Linked DNA regions of Saccharomyces cerevisiae S288C. Changing the gene in region 1 together with any one later gene gives a genetic interaction. Each region holds a gene or a part of one and is shown in the gene's direction. Other genes may lie near its edges. The genes, in order: RRD1, SAP155, PRI2 and ABD1.

Region 1 (4,062 bases):
GCAAAATCCCCCTTTTCAACAAGGGCCACATTGAGTCCCCTGGTCGCAGCATCTAGGGCACATCCTGTCCCCGTGGCCCCGCCACCGATGATCAACACGTCGAATTGATGCGTCTTGGCCAGACGGTCCAGCAGGTCTCGTCTAGAGACCTGCGGTGGAGCGGCGGTGGGGAATTGCACCATGTAGCTCGGGTCATTGTGCACTAACGGCCTATCACCTTGGCTAGTCATCCAGTACAGCGTCCCCGTGGCTGTGGCCATGGCAGCAGCTGCACCGGCAGCTCTTCTTCTCGTTACCGAAAACATATATTAGTACGTATTTAGTCTTGTAGCAGTGATGGCAATAGCACGGTCAAGATAAGGGAGGGAGAGTCCTTGCTTTAGACCAAAGTTCCCTATTTGTGGCTGTTCTCTTTTAAGTTTAAATACGATTTTTAGCGTGCGGGGTTGTGAAATTTCCCCTGCCAAAACTGAAATAAAGTTGGGTGGATAACGTATCGGAGCAGAGAAAAGACATAAGGTCTGTTGCTGTATATAAGTATGTGTTGCTAAAAAGGAATTAGTGCAGTGATTATTGGTCACTCGCTGATGCCCTTGCGCTTGGCACGTTTCAGCTTCTTTCTAACCGCGAGGATGGGCACAGAGCAGACGAAGTTCTGCAGAGTGGACAGGATGACCGAGAGGGAGCAGCACAGGGCGACTGGCTTGAGGCCGTGGATCATCTCGTTGAGGAGGTGTTTTGGGTACGGATGGGTCAAGGAGAGGACGACGACGTCGAGGTCGTCGAGCACGCCCGCGACGCAGTCAAACAGGTGCATGACGTGCTTTCTGATTCTGGCAACGTTGGCGAACATCTGGGAGTCGTCCGTGGGCTTCGAGGGCTCCCAGTGGACAATGTAGACGGTGTCTCCCTGGTTGACAGCTGCGCCCATGAGATAGGTCAGGGCGTAGGTGGACTCGCTGCTCAGGTCCGTGTAGAGGATGAAGGACCTTTGGTTCCCGGCCTCTGCGCCGGCACCCTTGGTGAGTAGTTGCATGGCTCTGACGTAGCCTCCGTCGAGTTGCTCCAGAGACACGTCTTCGTTTTCGTGGCCACGGATGCTGATCTCGTACTTGGCTATCCAGGGCTTGCTGGAGTCTAGCACTTCGTTTATGCTGGTACAAAAGTTGGGTAACACTTTCATGCCCAGATCGTAGTGGAACTCCTCGTCAATCTCTAAATCGTTCTCTATATCGCTCACTTGCTCTTCATCGGACTCTTCCTCGTCCATATCGTCGCCGTCGCCGTCGTCGTCATCTTCGTCGTTGCCCTCACCTTCCTCTTCAGAATCCACATCCACGACCCTCAACCGCATCGAGGGGTCCTGCCTCAACACGGTCCACTTGAGGAACTCTTCCTCCCTTACTCTGCTGCGGCTACTGGCCCTGCTTCTCGACCGCGACAGACTGCTCACGTTTGAGTCTCGTTCGCCTCTTTTCTTCTTGCTACGACCTCTTTCCCTGTGGCCCCTTTCCATCTGCTCCGAGTCGAACTCCACCGTGGTGGGCGTTTCCGTTTTGATGCTGTGTAGATTCGATTGTGTTCCGTCAGGTTTAGTCAGCAATATGCTCTTCTGCATTGCGTACTTGGTTGTTTCTCTTGTTGGTTCTTTTGGTACTCACCCTTTCCATAGTCTCTTGTGTTTGATCAAGCCTTTTTTCCGGACCTTTAAAGCTTTCTTAAAAAGATAAAATAGGAAGAAAGTGCAAAGTGCAAAAGAACGCACATATGAACAAGCATTAAACGAGCAAAGAAATGTCTCTGGATCGTGTAGATTGGCCGCACGCCACCTTCTCTACGCCGGTGAAGCGTATCTTCGATACGCAGACAACGCTGGACTTCCAATCGTCACTAGCCATTCACAGAATCAAGTATCATCTTCACAAGTACACTACGTTGATATCGCACTGTTCTGACCCCGACCCGCACGCTACTGCGTCGTCGATCGCCATGGTTAACGGGCTGATGGGAGTGTTGGACAAGCTGGCACACCTGATCGACGAGACACCGCCTCTTCCAGGTCCTAGAAGGTATGGTAACCTAGCATGCCGCGAGTGGCATCACAAGCTGGATGAACGTTTGCCTCAGTGGCTGCAGGAAATGCTTCCCTCGGAATACCATGAGGTGGTGCCTGAATTGCAGTATTACCTGGGCAACAGCTTTGGTTCGTCGACAAGATTGGACTACGGCACGGGCCACGAACTTTCGTTCATGGCCACGGTCGCAGCACTGGACATGCTGGGGATGTTTCCGCACATGAGGGGGGCAGACGTTTTTCTGCTGTTCAACAAGTACTACACGATCATGAGGAGGCTGATCCTGACGTATACGCTGGAGCCCGCTGGGTCACATGGCGTGTGGGGGCTTGATGACCATTTCCACTTGGTGTACATCTTGGGCTCGTCTCAATGGCAGCTGCTTGATGCGCAAGCACCCTTGCAACCAAGAGAAATACTGGATAAGTCTCTGGTGCGCGAGTATAAGGACACCAACTTCTACTGCCAAGGCATAAACTTTATTAATGAGGTGAAAATGGGGCCCTTTGAAGAGCATTCCCCCATCCTATACGATATTGCCGTCACCGTTCCACGCTGGTCCAAAGTGTGTAAGGGGCTTCTAAAAATGTATTCTGTAGAGGTTCTGAAGAAGTTCCCCGTGGTGCAACATTTCTGGTTCGGCACAGGCTTCTTTCCCTGGGTCAACATTCAAAACGGCACTGATCTTCCAGTCTTTGAAGAAAAGGAGGAAGAGAGTATAGAACAGGCTAACGCAGGATCGCCCGGTCGAGAACAGACTTCAACACGATTCCCAACGTCCACGTCAATGCCTCCCCCAGGCGTTCCGCCGTCAGGTAACAATATCAACTATTTACTAAGCCATCAAAACCAGTCGCACCGGAACCAGACTTCTTTTTCAAGAGATAGACTACGTAGATAATATTAATTAAACATATAAATGTGTATGACAAGCATTATGACTTCTATTTTCGTTCTTTTTTACTTGCGTCTACAATATATAAGCATATAATCAGATGAAAAAAGGAAAAGGAAGCGGTAATACAAATAAACAAAGAAGTGGAAAAAGTCGCCACAGTGTAAGCAAATGAGTCACAAGAGAAGGGGCCTGGTAATATATCAGGATCAGAAGCAGCAACAACAACACCCCCCGGGGCAGTCCCTAAGCTCTATATCCTGGTCTCCAACCAGGCGACCTCATCACCCTTTAAAACAACAAAGCACCAACAGTTTCTCAGAAATACTATCGAAATCAAGTGTGCAACCGAACGTGCAACATGACGGTAATCATATGCCCATTTCATTGCTAGTTCTGAAACAAGAACATCATAAGCAGCAGCAGCAGCAGCAGCAGCGCCAGAATATCCGATCACAAAACTCTACGCCTCCCCTGCGACAGTTGGTTCAGGAGTCGCAGTGGACGAGCTCCGCAAGTAATAGTTCTCTAAAGAAACAGGAAAAGCAGCCGCAAACATTCTACAACACTGACTCTAAACTTGTTTCTCAACTGCATAGCTCCGTGAAGGACCTGGATGCCATAATCCAGACGCATAAACCAAAGTTTGACACAATTATTCGCGATTTCTCTCAAGCAACCATACTGTCCTCAAACGAGTTACTCATCAAACTTCCGAAGGACCAAACAATAATATTGCATAGCAGAGCGCCAAAAATTAACGCAGAATGGCTACAGAACAAGGTTAATGACCCTAGTGCCTCGTTAGTGATCGATTCAAGATCTTTTCTAACCTTGTGTAACAATATAAAATGGTACCTGCATTGGAAATTTATATGAAAAGTAATTGTAGAATGGAGTGTTCAAAAAAAAAAAAAAAATGCACAGAAATATATATGTGATCATATATATGTATATATACATATTAGTTGGTACATAATCCACTATTAATACCAAGCTTGCTACCTAACGAAAATAAATACTTTGTATTGCACGTTTTTATCATTCTGTCCTTCGCTTTTTGGTTCATATTATCATCATCCGTTACCAGCA
Region 2 (5,926 bases), on another chromosome or scaffold:
ATATATGCCATTCTTTGCGACCATTGACTTATCATTACATCGCCCCACTCTTCGTACACTTCGACGTTTTCAAGACGAATCGATTCTGCCAGTTTAGCCATTTCGGTAAGAAAAGAATCTAATGAATGAAACAGTGATTTTTCAAAGTCTAACAAATGTATTTTATAATTCTTCAGTATCGATGTGATAGATGATTTGGTAATGTAAGCTTCCAGTTCAACTTGACCCGATTCATCAAAATACTTTATTTTATTTTGCACAGGATCGAATTTAGAGGTACAATTAATATCTTTGATTTTTGAATCTAGAAACACTAATTGCTCATTAACGGTAGTGTTAAGGTCATCAAGATTCCTAGTGATTTCTATAGATTTATTTTGCACCTCGGCCTCGAACACAGACTGTATCTCTGAATCCAAAAGTGCCATCGCACTGTGTATTTTCGAATCTATAGCCTTAATCCATGCTTCATATTCCATTTTTAATGATTCTGCCTCGTAAGTTTCCAATTCTGCATGGCTATTGGAACCAATGATAATCTTTGACAAATCCTGCAAAATAGCAGCAGTGACGAGTTGTGAGTTCCCGTGGCCATCCTGTACTCCATCGAACTCGTATTCTTTATTTTCATCCTCAATTCCGACATCATCCTCATCCTCATCTTCATCCTCATCCTCATTTTCATTCTCATCATCCTCATAATCCTCTGTTTCCGAGTCTGTCTCAAAAATGGGTTTGGTGAGCGTGCCATCAGCGCTAAAGGAGCCGTATTTCATCCAATCCGTAGAGGAGTTAAATGGATTCTCTAGTACATTCTTCACATTGTCTGTATATGGCTTTAAATAGTACCAGGCAATCCTTAGATGATTTAATAAAGGTCCCAACTTGGAATGTAGCGAACAGCAGAGCTCATTTAGCCTTAGAAAAGAGAAAATATTGTACCAAAAGCGGTAAAAATATCCCATAATTCTCTTCAAGGATGAGTTGGGGTATCTTTCAATCAGTGGTTTTATCGATTGTGAGTACTTTCCAACTAAATAGTCAGAAACCGCTGAACCTTCAACCAATTTAGAATCGAATAGTGAGCCAACTGAAAATTCAGTATGCCGGCAAATGGGCTGTAAATCTGTGGCAAAGCTTCCCAGACCATTTTGCTGACAGACCAGATACCTTGCAATAAACACGCAAGCCAGCAAAGCAGTCGTTACTTTGAAAACGGCCTTCATGATTTTTAGTAAAGAACTAACCACCTTTTTCTTAGTTAAGAAAAGGTCAATCAGTAACAGAAATATGATAGTAGCAACACCCAAAAAAATGCTATCTTCCAATAGTCAAAAAGGAAGCCTCGATGCCATACAAGTCTCTTCTAAAGTACTATTATGTAATTCCTGTTAAATGATACCTGTATTGTGGCTTAAAAGGGCCGAAATGACAACAAAATGAGTAGGGTTAATTTAATTTTTAAAGAGGGCATTTATCTAAAAAATGAAAGACAACTATAGGGCTGGTAATTATAGAATAGGTCTTAGTAGGGTTATCCCTTCCTCTAGAAAAAAAGAAAGAAAAATAATTTTAAGTGGCCAATTAGAACCAAAACCAACAGTATCGTGGTATCATACGCTCCAAAGCAACTAGAAGAAAGGCCTTATTTGACCATTGGATTCAGTATTTTTTCTCCAAGTAGCGGTTAAAAGACTGAGAGACTAAAGCTAGATAGTGGGTTTGAGTGACTATCCCCTTTTTTCCTCCTCTTTTTTTATTATTTTGATTTTATTTCATTTTGATTTTATTTCAACACGATTAAGACACAAGCGTTACTTCCCTAGACTATAGTCTCTGCCGTTCCCATTCTATTGATTTTTGGAGCAGCAGTTTTTACAAAAGAAAAGAAAAAAAAGACGAAAACAACAAGCCAGAGTAAAGATGTCGTTTTGGCCATTTGGACAGAATCTTAATCACTCTAATATTAATAAGATCCTAGATGAATATTTTCATGTGCTACACGAACTGGAAAGGATTAACCCAAGCGTTGGTAAAGCCATTCCCGCTATTTTCAACAACGTTCAGGAACGAGGTACAAGTGACTCCCTAGATTCTATTCCGGAGGAGTATAGTCATGGTGATGAAGTGAAAACGGCACGTGGAGATCAGAAGAGTCGATTTGAGAAGGATGATCAGCAAGAACGGTATGAGAAAGAGGAAGAGGAACGGAGCATGAACTCTAGCGAATCTTCCACTACATCTTTTTCTTCTGGGTCAACTTCTAAAACTGATTTAGATGAGGAGGATATCAGCAATGCTACTGCTCCCATGATGGTCACCACAAAGAATTTGGATAACTCTTTTATTGAAAGAATGCTTGTAGAGACAGAGCTACTGAACGAATTATCGAGACAAAACAAGACGCTACTTGACTTCATTTGCTTTGGATTTTTCTTTGATAAGAAAACTAATAAGAAAGTGAATAATATGGAATATCTGGTCGACCAACTGATGGAATGTATCTCGAAGATTAAAACCGCCACCACAGTGGATTTGAATAACCTGATAGATTATCAAGAACAGCAACAGCTTGATGATAGCTCACAAGAGGACGTTTATGTGGAATCTGATACGGAGCAAGAAGAGGAGAAAGAGGACGATAATAACAGCAATAACAAGAAGAGACGAAAACGCGGAAGCTCCTCGTTTGGTAACGATGATATCAACAACAATGACGACGACGACGATGCGAATGAGGACGATGAATCTGCTTATTTGACAAAGGCCACCATAATATCTGAAATCTTTTCCTTAGACATATGGTTGATTAGCGAGTCATTAGTTAAAAACCAATCATACTTAAACAAGATTTGGTCTATCATCAACCAGCCAAATTTCAATTCTGAAAACTCTCCCTTGGTACCCATATTCTTAAAGATTAACCAAAATCTGTTGTTAACCAGGCAGGATCAATATTTAAATTTTATTCGAACGGAGAGAAGCTTTGTTGATGATATGTTAAAGCATGTTGATATTTCCCTATTGATGGATTTTTTCTTGAAAATAATATCCACAGATAAGATTGAATCACCCACGGGAATAATTGAATTAGTATATGATCAAAACTTGATCAGCAAATGCTTAAGCTTTCTAAATAACAAAGAGTCCCCAGCTGACATCCAAGCATGCGTGGGTGATTTCTTAAAGGCTCTGATTGCCATTTCTGCTAATGCACCCTTGGATGATATTTCCATTGGTCCAAACTCCTTGACGAGACAGCTAGCATCTCCCGAATCCATTGCAAAGCTAGTCGATATCATGATCAACCAAAGAGGTGCCGCATTAAATACCACAGTTTCGATTGTCATTGAGCTGATAAGGAAAAACAATTCAGACTACGATCAAGTTAATCTTTTAACCACTACTATAAAGACTCATCCACCTTCAAATAGAGATCCAATATATTTAGGCTATCTACTTCGGAAATTTTCAAACCATTTGTCCGATTTTTTCCAAATCATTCTAGATATTGAAAATGACGCCAACATCCCATTACATGAAAATCAGTTGCACGAAAAATTTAAACCTTTAGGATTTGAAAGATTCAAAGTGGTGGAATTAATCGCCGAGTTACTGCATTGCTCTAATATGGGATTAATGAATTCCAAAAGGGCAGAAAGAATAGCCAGAAGAAGAGATAAAGTAAGGAGCCAGTTATCCCATCATTTACAAGATGCATTAAACGATCTGAGTATCGAAGAAAAGGAGCAACTTAAAACGAAGCACTCTCCAACACGTGACACTGATCACGACCTAAAAAATAACAACGGTAAAATAGATAACGACAATAATGATAATGATGATGAAAGTGACTATGGCGACGAAATAGACGAGAGCTTCGAAATTCCATACATCAATATGAAGCAAAACATAAAACTTAGGACCGACCCCACGGTCGGGGACCTATTCAAAATCAAACTATATGATACGCGAATTGTTTCCAAAATAATGGAACTATTCTTAACACATCCTTGGAACAATTTTTGGCATAATGTTATATTCGACATAATTCAGCAAATCTTCAATGGAAGAATGGATTTTTCCTATAATTCCTTCCTTGTTTTGTCTCTGTTTAACTTAAAGAGCTCCTATCAATTTATGACTGATATCGTCATATCAGATGAAAAAGGAACGGATGTTTCCCGATTTTCTCCCGTTATTAGAGACCCAAATTTTGATTTCAAAATAACTACAGACTTCATATTAAGGGGCTACCAGGATTCATATAAATTTTATGAGCTAAGGAAAATGAATTTGGGATATATGGGCCATATTGTCTTGATTGCCGAAGAAGTGGTCAAATTTTCTAAATTGTACAAAGTGGAACTAATATCTCCCGATATTCAAGTAATTTTACAAACCGAAGAATGGCAATACTACTCCGAAGAAGTCTTAAACGAAACAAGAATGATGTACTCTAAAATTCTTGGCGGTGGAAGTTATATTGATGATGGAAATGGTAACATCATTCCGCAGCTGCCTGACAATACTACTGTATTAACTCCAAATGGTGATGCAAGTAATAATAATGAAATCCTTGATTCAGATACCGGGAGTAGTAATGGAACAAGTGGTGGCGGCCAATTAATCAATGTTGAGTCTCTAGAAGAACAGTTGTCCTTATCTACAGAATCTGATTTACACAACAAGTTAAGGGAAATGTTAATCAATAGGGCTCAAGAAGACGTTGATAATAAGAACACGGAAAATGGGGTTTTCATACTGGGGCCGCCGGAGGACAAGAACAGTAATAGTAACATTAACAATACCAACCATAATAGTAATAATAGTAATAACAACGATAATAACGATAATAATGATAATGACAATGATAATACTCGTAATTATAATGAAGATGCTGATAATGATAATGATTATGATCATGAATGATACATTGTTTTGTACTTTTCTTTAATTTGTATATATATATATTAATTTATATGTATAAGTACCATGTAGTTTTCTATTCATTCATTCATTCATCATGATAATATTACTTCTTACGTATCATTTACGTGAATAGATCACTTTACCGTTAGGCAATTCCATTTTCTTTTGGCCTTTCTTTGCAGAACCCTTTTTTACTTTGTTCCCCTTTTTTGTTTGGTTACCATCATACTTTTTACTATCCGTTATTATTTCTTCTTTTCCTGCGCTACCAACAGATTTGCCAAACGTCATGTTCCAAACCGAAGCAGGTATTCTCCAAAACAAACAGTTCTTTACTGAAGGTTTATCCAAGGTATCTGGCGAAATTAGTGTTTCACTTCCATCAGGCTCTACAACATAGACATCGCTAAACCTTACAACCAAACTTTTACCCTCATCCTTTTCATGTTGTTTAAACGTTAGTTGTTTTACGCCTAGTCCATTGGTATCATCCTGTTGTTTACACTGACTGATGAAGTTTTCAATTCTTGATCTTTGAGAACGATATTGAATAATAGAAATGATATACTGCCCAATATTAACGACTATCCAAATAAAGGCCAGCAGGAACCAAGTCTTAGGCTTCATTCTGGAAAAATAAAAACCACCCTTATGGAAATCATAGTTTGGAAAGCCATTCTGTAGATAATAATCATAAATCTTACGATTAGAGCTGTTTGAAAGAATTTGAGTAGCGAGGTTTAACCTTTCATACAATTTACGGTATTTAGGGTTCTTATCCGGATGGTACTTCTTGGATAGCTTTCTTAAGTTTTTTGTAATCTCCTTTGTACTAGAATTCTGCAGTTTAGGTAACTTCAAGAACTTGTAGAAGTTCATATCTGGGCCATATTTCGTACTTATTTCATTTTGTAATTGGAAAATTTCTGTTTCAATGGTGGTAAAAGCATATGATAGAGATACCAATCCCAGGACAACCAACGCAGGTTTCCAG
Region 3 (4,620 bases), on another chromosome or scaffold:
TACTTCTAAGGCGGACATTTGTTCACCTAGACCATACATACCATCCCAAGTCCCATTGAACCAATTCAATCCACAGGTATGACCATCAGTACCTCCAGAACATGATTTCGCGGCCGCAATGGCAGATGTATTCAACCAAGACATAATTTGGTTCCTAGTTTCTGGCACTAGTTGTGCAGTGACACCTAAGAAACGGGCAAAATAGGCTTTGAAGGAACGTTGATCTGTATTACAAGAATTTGGACCTTGACAAGCAGCTTCATACACAATACCATCATGGAAAAACACTTGGGAAGCGTTCAAAAACTCTTTGGTTCTTGTGTGCCAGAGGTCTGATCCCGTAAAGTTGTAAAGGTAGGCAGAGCCAGCCAACAGCAAACCTTGATTATATGTCCATTGATATGAGGTCACTTTGGTGCAATTATCATCAATGCTGACACCATCGTAAACATACTTATAGGTACCATTAGAAATTAAGTTCACACCGACCATCCACTCGTAAACTTTTTCGGCCCAGTCAACATATGTTTGATTACCTGTATATCTTGCTAATCTTGCAGCTATGTGAAACAAGGCACCGTTAGAAACGGTGTTCTTGTAATCGTAACCAGAGTTCCAAACGAAAATTTGCCACCTCAAACCACCACCACAGGAATCGGCATCCCAACGCAAAGCCATGGTATTGAAAACAGCCTGTGCTAAATATAGCCATTGAGGCTCATTCTCGGGAGGATTAGTAAAGTTTCTCTCCGCGGCAGTCATAGCAGCAATACCCCAAAAGGCTTGGTCATCATTACCTTCAGTGGTAGATTGATTTAGCGGAATATAGTCATTATCATCACCAGCTTGATGTATCATTGCTGCTATAATTTCATCATTATAGGTGTCGTTATCCATGAAAAACCAGTAATCTAGCATACAGCCCCAGGCACCACCGGCTTCCCACCAATAGTACGGATCTGAAAACATACCGACCGTCTTACCATACTGATTACCAGTGTAATAATCCATTAAACCGTAGGCAATTAGTGAAGTAGCATTTTGCAAAGATTCGTAGTTGTCTAGATCCAATTCGACGGCATTTGTAAATCTTGTTGCGAAGAGTACACCCAGTAACCCTATCACTTTATTTACTAGCATTTTTATGTGTTCGTTTTTAAAACAGACTGAAAAGAAAGAAAGCTCAGAAAAAAAGTGGTGTGTATTTTGTTGTATCCACTATTATATGTCCTGGAAAGGTTTCCCTAGCGTTTTGACCCTTTCGTATCTTGTAATTTAAGCCTCTTTTTACCAAAAATCCTCCCGTTCGCACACCTATTAAGCTGCTTATAAAATATGAGTATCAACACAGTAACAGTGAATATATAATAGATGAGCCCATTATACAAAGAGTACCTATGATCATCATGAAATCCGAGCTTTATTTCCATCTGCCAGTTTTCTTTCTGGATGTACGAAATTAAATCGCGCCTCGAACGGGTGCAAAACCGGGTGACGGGACACCGCTACGAATATAGTACGATACACTTATACATATATGGAAGCATTTATAGCGTATATTCATCGTACGGTACATTCTTTAAATAAATGATTGAATTTTTCTGAACCAACAGTTATAAGCTGAGATCCAGTGCGTTCATGAAACGGAACATCTTACATCATCAAGAGCCCAGAAGCACGGCGTAGGATTGTTTCCGCTGCTACAGACAGACATGGAAACACTGTTTTTATCAGGCCAAAGGTGATACGACAGGTCTCTTCTTGTTTCAATATTGCCTTACATATCTGCTGCTCACTCTATTTGCTTTTTCCTGCTCATTTATAGTTAACTTGATTTGAAATTACGCGTCGCGGGGAATCGCGTAAAACTCGATATTAAATCCTGTGATTTTGCAAAAGTAAATTTTTTACTATCTACATCTCTCCAATTTGCACAACTTTGACAGGACTGATAACTACCCAGGTGGAGCAACCAGTGACAGCAGGTAAAGCACAATAAGGAGAAGAAATGTTCAGGCAGTCAAAAAGAAGAATTGCCTCAAGGAAGAATTTTAGTTCATACGATGATATTGTCAAAAGCGAATTGGACGTAGGCAACACAAATGCAGCTAACCAGATCATCTTAAGTTCAAGTTCATCTGAAGAAGAGAAAAAACTTTACGCTAGGCTGTATGAGTCTAAATTATCATTTTACGATTTACCACCACAGGGAGAAATAACGTTGGAACAATTTGAGATCTGGGCAATCGATCGTCTCAAAATTCTGTTAGAGATCGAATCTTGCCTTTCAAGAAACAAATCGATCAAAGAAATTGAAACCATTATCAAGCCGCAGTTCCAAAAACTACTGCCTTTCAACACAGAGAGTTTAGAAGACAGAAAAAAGGATTACTACTCTCATTTCATTTTAAGATTGTGCTTTTGTCGTTCAAAAGAACTGCGGGAAAAATTCGTCAGGGCTGAAACGTTTTTGTTCAAAATTAGATTTAACATGCTAACCTCCACCGATCAAACAAAATTTGTTCAATCATTGGACTTACCCTTACTACAGTTTATCTCAAATGAAGAAAAGGCCGAATTATCTCATCAGTTGTATCAAACAGTTTCTGCGTCTCTACAGTTCCAATTGAATTTAAACGAGGAACATCAAAGAAAACAGTATTTCCAACAGGAAAAATTCATAAAATTACCTTTCGAAAATGTGATAGAACTGGTAGGAAACCGTTTAGTGTTTTTGAAGGACGGGTACGCATATTTACCACAATTCCAGCAATTGAATTTACTTTCTAATGAGTTTGCTAGCAAATTGAACCAGGAGTTAATAAAAACGTACCAGTACTTACCAAGACTGAATGAGGATGACCGGTTGTTACCAATTCTAAATCATCTTTCGTCGGGGTACACTATCGCGGATTTCAACCAGCAAAAGGCAAACCAATTCAGTGAGAACGTAGATGATGAGATTAATGCGCAAAGTGTCTGGTCTGAAGAGATTAGCTCAAACTATCCGCTATGTATCAAAAACCTGATGGAGGGTCTTAAAAAGAACCATCATTTGAGGTATTATGGGAGACAACAACTGAGTCTGTTTTTGAAAGGTATCGGCCTGAGCGCTGATGAAGCGTTAAAATTTTGGTCTGAGGCATTTACAAGAAATGGGAACATGACAATGGAGAAGTTCAATAAAGAATACCGTTACAGCTTCAGGCATAATTACGGTCTTGAAGGTAACAGAATCAACTACAAACCATGGGACTGTCACACTATCCTTTCCAAGCCCAGACCTGGGCGCGGAGATTATCATGGATGCCCTTTCCGTGATTGGAGTCACGAGAGACTATCTGCAGAATTGCGCTCTATGAAGTTGACCCAAGCGCAGATCATCAGTGTTCTGGATTCCTGCCAGAAAGGTGAATACACAATTGCTTGCACTAAAGTGTTTGAAATGACACACAACTCTGCATCAGCGGATTTGGAAATTGGCGAGCAAACGCATATCGCGCATCCTAACCTATACTTCGAAAGATCAAGGCAACTGCAAAAGAAACAGCAGAAGCTGGAAAAGGAAAAACTATTCAATAATGGTAATCATTAGTGCAGAAAGGGAAAAGGAAAAAAGCGAAGAGATAACTAAAAAGGATTAATAGTATACGTAATTTAGTCTACTGTAAGTATGGTCAAAAATTTTCTTTAGTGAGAAAAAAAAAAAAAAAGAGAAACGATAAACGCTGTACAATACCAGTGACTGCACTGCTCCGAAAACGTCCGAGATATGTATATTGTCCGAATTTTTTCATACTTTAATAGCTGGCCAGAGAAACCTTATAATTTTGTGGCTGCAAGCTATCGCGCTGTTCCTCTGTGACAGGCAACACAGAACAACTAACCGCCTGTCTTTTATGCCTGTACACTTCATTAAAATTTACCGTTTTCTTCCATTACAAGCGGGGACACTTTCCGTTTAAACCTGCAATATGTTGCAGGGCCTATCCACGCCAATTTACTGTGGCAGAAGTTACTGCAGTGGAAGAACTACCTTTTCCAGCATAGCCTCCGCCACCAAAAAATGCAGGTGCTGCGTTTTCTGGATACGTGGCTGGCCTTTAAAACGCATGGGAGGGACAGTATCTCACCGATTTGGTAATGCCGTGATGCAACCTCGAGGATCCGGTTTTCAAGAGCGGAAGTAAAAAACCGGGAAGATCTAATATTTCCTTATGCAGGTATTCTGTGACTAAAAAGTATAGAAGACTATTTTGCACCGCTCCCTGATTAGACTTCGTGCGATATTATTGATGGATATCGTCTTTATCTTTCCGTGGACCTAAAACGGCACCCCTTCGTCTAGGATAAACGCGGTCGGCTCTTTCGAAGACTAAAAAAGCAGCCACAATAACGTTACATGCAAAATCAGCCCACTCGAAGTTAGATACTGCGTAGACGGATTTGCACGATGCGATGATAAATATTAGGGACAGTGCGTGCCCACCCATAAGTTGCTGTAGAGCTTACAAATTGTAAAGACTAATTCCAATCGCACGCCCACCCCTCACGGGAATAAGTTAGAATGTTGCGGAATGAACGATAACTTCATATTAGGTAAAAGGGAAGAATGCAACG
Region 4 (4,301 bases), on another chromosome or scaffold:
TCCTTTGCCGCCGAACCCTTTCGACAACCTAAACTTACCCTTTTTCATACCGGATTCAAACTTGGCACTCATTTCCTGAAGTTCTTTTGCTTGCAGAGGGTCTAAAGCTTTTATTTCTTCATCGCGCATTGCCTTGCTCAAGATATAAGCACCTGACAGTTCATCATGCAATAGAAGAGTAATAGCAGTACCGGAGCGACTACCTCTGGCAGTTCTTCCAGTAGTATGAACATATTGCGCGAAAGTTTTGACGGCGTTATAGATAATAACCAACGACACTTCGGGAACATTTAAACCTCTTGAGAGAACCTCTGTACAGAGAAGAATACTGTTCTTTTCTCGTTTGAACTTTTCTAAGTTCATAAGCCTTTCTTGATATGGCTTACCTGCATGAATAGCACAGGTCACAATTCCAGCATTTAACAGCTTTTTTGAAATGAAGTCGCAAATATTCTGACTTGATACAAATATAATGGCTTTAGCATCAACTTCTTCAACATCGCTTGACTGTCCGTCATTTTCACTTTGAACCTCGTCAAAAAATTCACTGCGCTCATGGATAAGCTGCACCAGATTGTCAAATTTTTCATCTTCTGAATGGCATATTCTAAACTTTTGTTTTACGTTTTCATTAACCATTCCCTTTGAATTAATCGTAATAGATATTGGGGAATGCAAAACTCTTACGGCAAAACTGCGTAGTTTGTTCGGAAAAGTTGCACTAAATAGAACACACTGTTTATCCGGTCGAACAGTTTTCATGATTTGCGTTATTTGAGGTTCAAAACCTAAATCGAACAGCCTGTCTGCCTCATCCATTACTACGAACGTTATTCTTTTAGTACTAAGTAATTTCCCATCATTTAGTGTTAATATATCAATAAATCGTCCCGGTGTGGCAACAACAATCTCAGTGCCTCTTTTAAGATCAGTAATCTGCTTTTTCATTTCAGAACCTCCTGTACAGCATACTGATCTAATGGATGTATCTGCTTCTGTGAATTTAGTAACTTCTTCATGTATTTGTAAAGCTAGCTCTCTAGTTGGAGCCAGAATTAAACCCATGGGCCCTGTTTCATGTTTTGATAATGGCCGTTGAGCTTTTACTTGTCTTAGCAATGGTAAAAGATAGGAGATGGTCTTGCCGGAGCCAGTTTTTGATATTCCTATAACATCACGACCTGACATAATAGCGGGAAGAGCCTGGGATTGAATAGGCGTTAAGGAGCCAAAGTGCAACTTTTCTGTAATTAAAACCATGGTGTCCGTTGATAGTCCCAGTTGAGACCACTTTGTGACTGGTTTGGGGCAACCTGTTCCCTTTATTTTGATATTATCCAGACTAAGTCTAAGCTCCTCAACTTCCATCTCTGACATCGAGGAAACTGTTTCAGATTCTATATAAAAATTTTTTTGGAACGGCTCAAGCTCTTCTGGAGAGTAATAAATTTGCTTTACACGTTTTTTTGCTTTGAGTTTAGCAATTTTCGCTATATTAGAATTATCCGTATTATCTTCAACATCCTCATCGTCGGTTCCTCCAAGTTCAAACAATTGATCCTCTACATCAAGAATGTCGCCTCTGTCGTACATGCCTTTACTATTACTCATTTTCTCCTCCTTCAATGACGTCATAAACTCATCCAGTGGATCTTTTTCATTATCATGCTCTGGAGCTTTTTGAATGTGCTCCTTCGATCTAAAAGAAACTCCTATTTCAGAATCATCGTCATCACTGAAGTCGAAGGATATTTTCTTCTTTACCTTACTTCTCTTCGACTTTTTCTTCGAAGGCTTAACCGATACAGGTTCGTCAGATTTCCTAAATTCATTTTTTCTCTTCCGAAGCTCTTCTTTTACACGTTCCTGTCTTTCCGTAAACTTTTCAGTAGTCTGCTTACCTTCTAAACTGTTAGTAACAATGTCATTGCGTGAAGTTTGATGCTCTTTCTGAGCATCAAATTGTGCTTTTTTTTGTTTCCATTTTGCTAGTTTTTTCCTCCTTTCCTCCAATAAAGACTCCCTATTAATATTTTGCTTCGAATCAATAGTTTCCATACCTCAAATAAACCCAAGGCAACAGCGTTATGATTTCCCTTCTCGAATTATTTGGCGCTGTATTATATTAGAAAGAACTCTAATACCTTTAGTTTGGTCCATTGCTCTAAATGACTTTAATTAGTTTCATCTAATCCGGGTAATGGTAAATCAAGATATTTCAACATAAATTAGAAGATTTCTTATTTTAATCCTTTACATGTGAGACACTTTTCCGATTAATGTGACAACTACTACAACGTGGAGTCGTCCATTATCCGTCTTAGAAAAGTAGAATGTCAACCAAACCAGAGAAGCCAATATGGATGTCACAAGAAGACTATGACCGTCAGTACGGCTCAATTACTGGTGATGAATCGTCCACAGTCTCAAAAAAAGACTCCAAAGTTACTGCCAATGCGCCTGGTGATGGTAATGGATCATTACCAGTTTTGCAAAGCAGCTCTATCCTTACTTCTAAGGTGTCTGATCTACCCATTGAGGCAGAATCCGGGTTTAAAATCCAAAAGAGAAGACATGAAAGGTATGATCAAGAGGAAAGATTACGCAAACAGCGTGCTCAAAAATTGAGAGAAGAGCAACTAAAGAGACATGAAATAGAGATGACTGCAAATAGATCCATAAATGTTGACCAGATTGTCCGAGAGCACTATAATGAACGTACAATAATCGCCAATCGCGCTAAGAGGAATCTATCGCCTATTATTAAGCTTCGTAATTTTAACAATGCGATTAAGTATATGTTAATTGACAAATATACAAAACCTGGAGATGTCGTTTTAGAACTCGGATGTGGCAAAGGTGGTGATTTAAGAAAATATGGTGCTGCAGGTATTTCACAGTTTATTGGTATTGACATTTCCAATGCCTCTATCCAAGAAGCTCATAAGAGATACCGGTCCATGAGAAATTTGGACTACCAAGTTGTGCTAATTACTGGGGATTGCTTTGGCGAATCATTAGGTGTTGCAGTAGAGCCCTTCCCAGACTGTAGATTTCCGTGTGATATCGTTTCGACGCAATTTTGCTTGCATTATGCTTTTGAGACCGAAGAAAAAGCAAGGAGAGCTTTACTGAATGTCGCCAAATCACTCAAAATTGGTGGTCACTTTTTTGGCACGATACCAGATTCAGAATTCATTCGTTATAAACTGAATAAATTTCCCAAAGAAGTGGAAAAGCCATCTTGGGGAAACTCCATTTATAAAGTGACATTTGAGAATAATTCATACCAAAAGAATGATTATGAGTTCACATCGCCTTATGGTCAAATGTATACTTATTGGCTAGAAGATGCTATAGATAATGTTCCTGAATATGTTGTGCCATTCGAAACCTTAAGAAGTTTGGCTGATGAATACGGTTTGGAACTAGTATCGCAAATGCCTTTTAATAAATTTTTTGTCCAAGAAATTCCCAAATGGATTGAGAGGTTTTCGCCTAAAATGAGGGAAGGTTTACAAAGATCTGATGGTAGATATGGTGTTGAAGGGGATGAAAAGGAAGCGGCATCATATTTCTATACCATGTTTGCATTCCGTAAGGTAAAACAGTATATCGAACCGGAAAGCGTAAAGCCCAACTGAAATAAAAATGAATAGAAACAATAACCCTACTATAAAGCATCTGTATTTCGGCCGTATTACAAGACTTCTATATGTAGTAAATAAGTTCTGGGGAAATGCATAACGATATATGTGTTATTCTATAATGCAGTAGTTACTGTCATGGTTTGCGAATTGATTAACATGCATGGAGGTAAGCCCTCCAACCAAATATCCAAGTCCTCGACATATTGTAAACTTGCATCGTGATCTTCATGTGTTCCAAGAGCTGGAACTGGCAAGGTTGAAAAAATTAAATCCGAACTCTTTGACATTTGTGTCATCACATCATTCAGAACCAAATGTTGAGCAGTGCTGGGAAGATCATTGAAACCTAAATTTTGCATCGCTGTGACTAAACTATCTTTTGAACAACAAGGTGATAATTCGGGAAGAACCGGTTTCTTTAATTTGTTGCCGTTGCCAATACCGCTCCCAGTACCGTTCCCATTCGAAAGGTCAGGTTCGGCAATTGGGATCAGTGTCGGCTGTTCACCCGTGCCATCTTCCACGACTCTCGTCCTCGGCAAAGTATTACTCGAGAAAACGGGTCTTAACGACTGTGTTGACACATCGCTTTGTAAATTCTTTACGAGTAAATTTGTTCTGTCGGAACCGGTCTTCGATTTGGTCGTTAAG

The links.
Region 2: mutations in RRD1 (region 1) and SAP155 together harm fitness more than expected from each alone (negative genetic interaction), as found in Saccharomyces cerevisiae (2 studies listed by BioGRID).
Region 3: mutations in RRD1 (region 1) and PRI2 together harm fitness more than expected from each alone (negative genetic interaction), as found in Saccharomyces cerevisiae (2 studies listed by BioGRID).
Region 4: mutations in RRD1 (region 1) and ABD1 together harm fitness more than expected from each alone (negative genetic interaction), as found in Saccharomyces cerevisiae (2 studies listed by BioGRID).

The regions. Positions count from the first base shown.
Region 1 is NC_001141.2:53,404-57,465, forward strand, and holds RRD1 (peptidylprolyl isomerase RRD1), read left to right. Parts: upstream 1-1,794; coding exon 1,795-2,976; downstream 2,977-4,062. Other genes in the region: GUT2 (glycerol-3-phosphate dehydrogenase), read right to left, coding at 1-305; IMP21 (Imp21p), read right to left, coding at 578-1,618; VPR1 (Vpr1p), read left to right, coding at 3,142-3,849; ESL1 (Esl1p), read right to left, coding at 3,935-4,062. UniProt on the Saccharomyces cerevisiae protein: PPIases accelerate the folding of proteins. It catalyzes the cis-trans isomerization of proline imidic peptide bonds in oligopeptides.
Region 2 is NC_001138.5:232,319-238,244, forward strand, and holds SAP155 (Sap155p), read left to right. Parts: upstream 1-1,923; coding exon 1,924-4,932; downstream 4,933-5,926. Other genes in the region: OSW7 (Osw7p), read right to left, coding at 1-1,226; ERJ5 (Erj5p), read right to left, coding at 5,050-5,926. UniProt on the Saccharomyces cerevisiae protein: Positive regulator of protein phosphatase SIT4. Involved in directing expression of TOR-repressed genes and in dephosphorylation of NPR1 in response to nutrient starvation. Negatively modulates K(+) efflux of the cell by the Na(+)-K(+)/H(+) antiporter NHA1.
Region 3 is NC_001143.9:351,485-356,104, forward strand, and holds PRI2 (DNA primase subunit PRI2), read left to right. Parts: upstream 1-2,008; coding exon 2,009-3,595; downstream 3,596-4,620. Other genes in the region: DCW1 (putative mannan endo-1,6-alpha-mannosidase), read right to left, coding at 1-1,140. UniProt on the Saccharomyces cerevisiae protein: DNA primase is the polymerase that synthesizes small RNA primers for the Okazaki fragments made during discontinuous DNA replication. In a complex with DNA polymerase alpha (DNA polymerase alpha:primase) constitutes a replicative polymerase.
Region 4 is NC_001134.8:689,726-694,026, reverse strand, and holds ABD1 (mRNA (guanine-N7)-methyltransferase), read left to right. Parts: upstream 1-2,333; coding exon 2,334-3,644; downstream 3,645-4,301. Other genes in the region: DEAD-box RNA helicase PRP5, read right to left, coding at 1-2,058; VHC1 (Vhc1p), read right to left, coding at 3,764-4,301. UniProt on the Saccharomyces cerevisiae protein: Responsible for methylating the 5'-cap structure of mRNAs.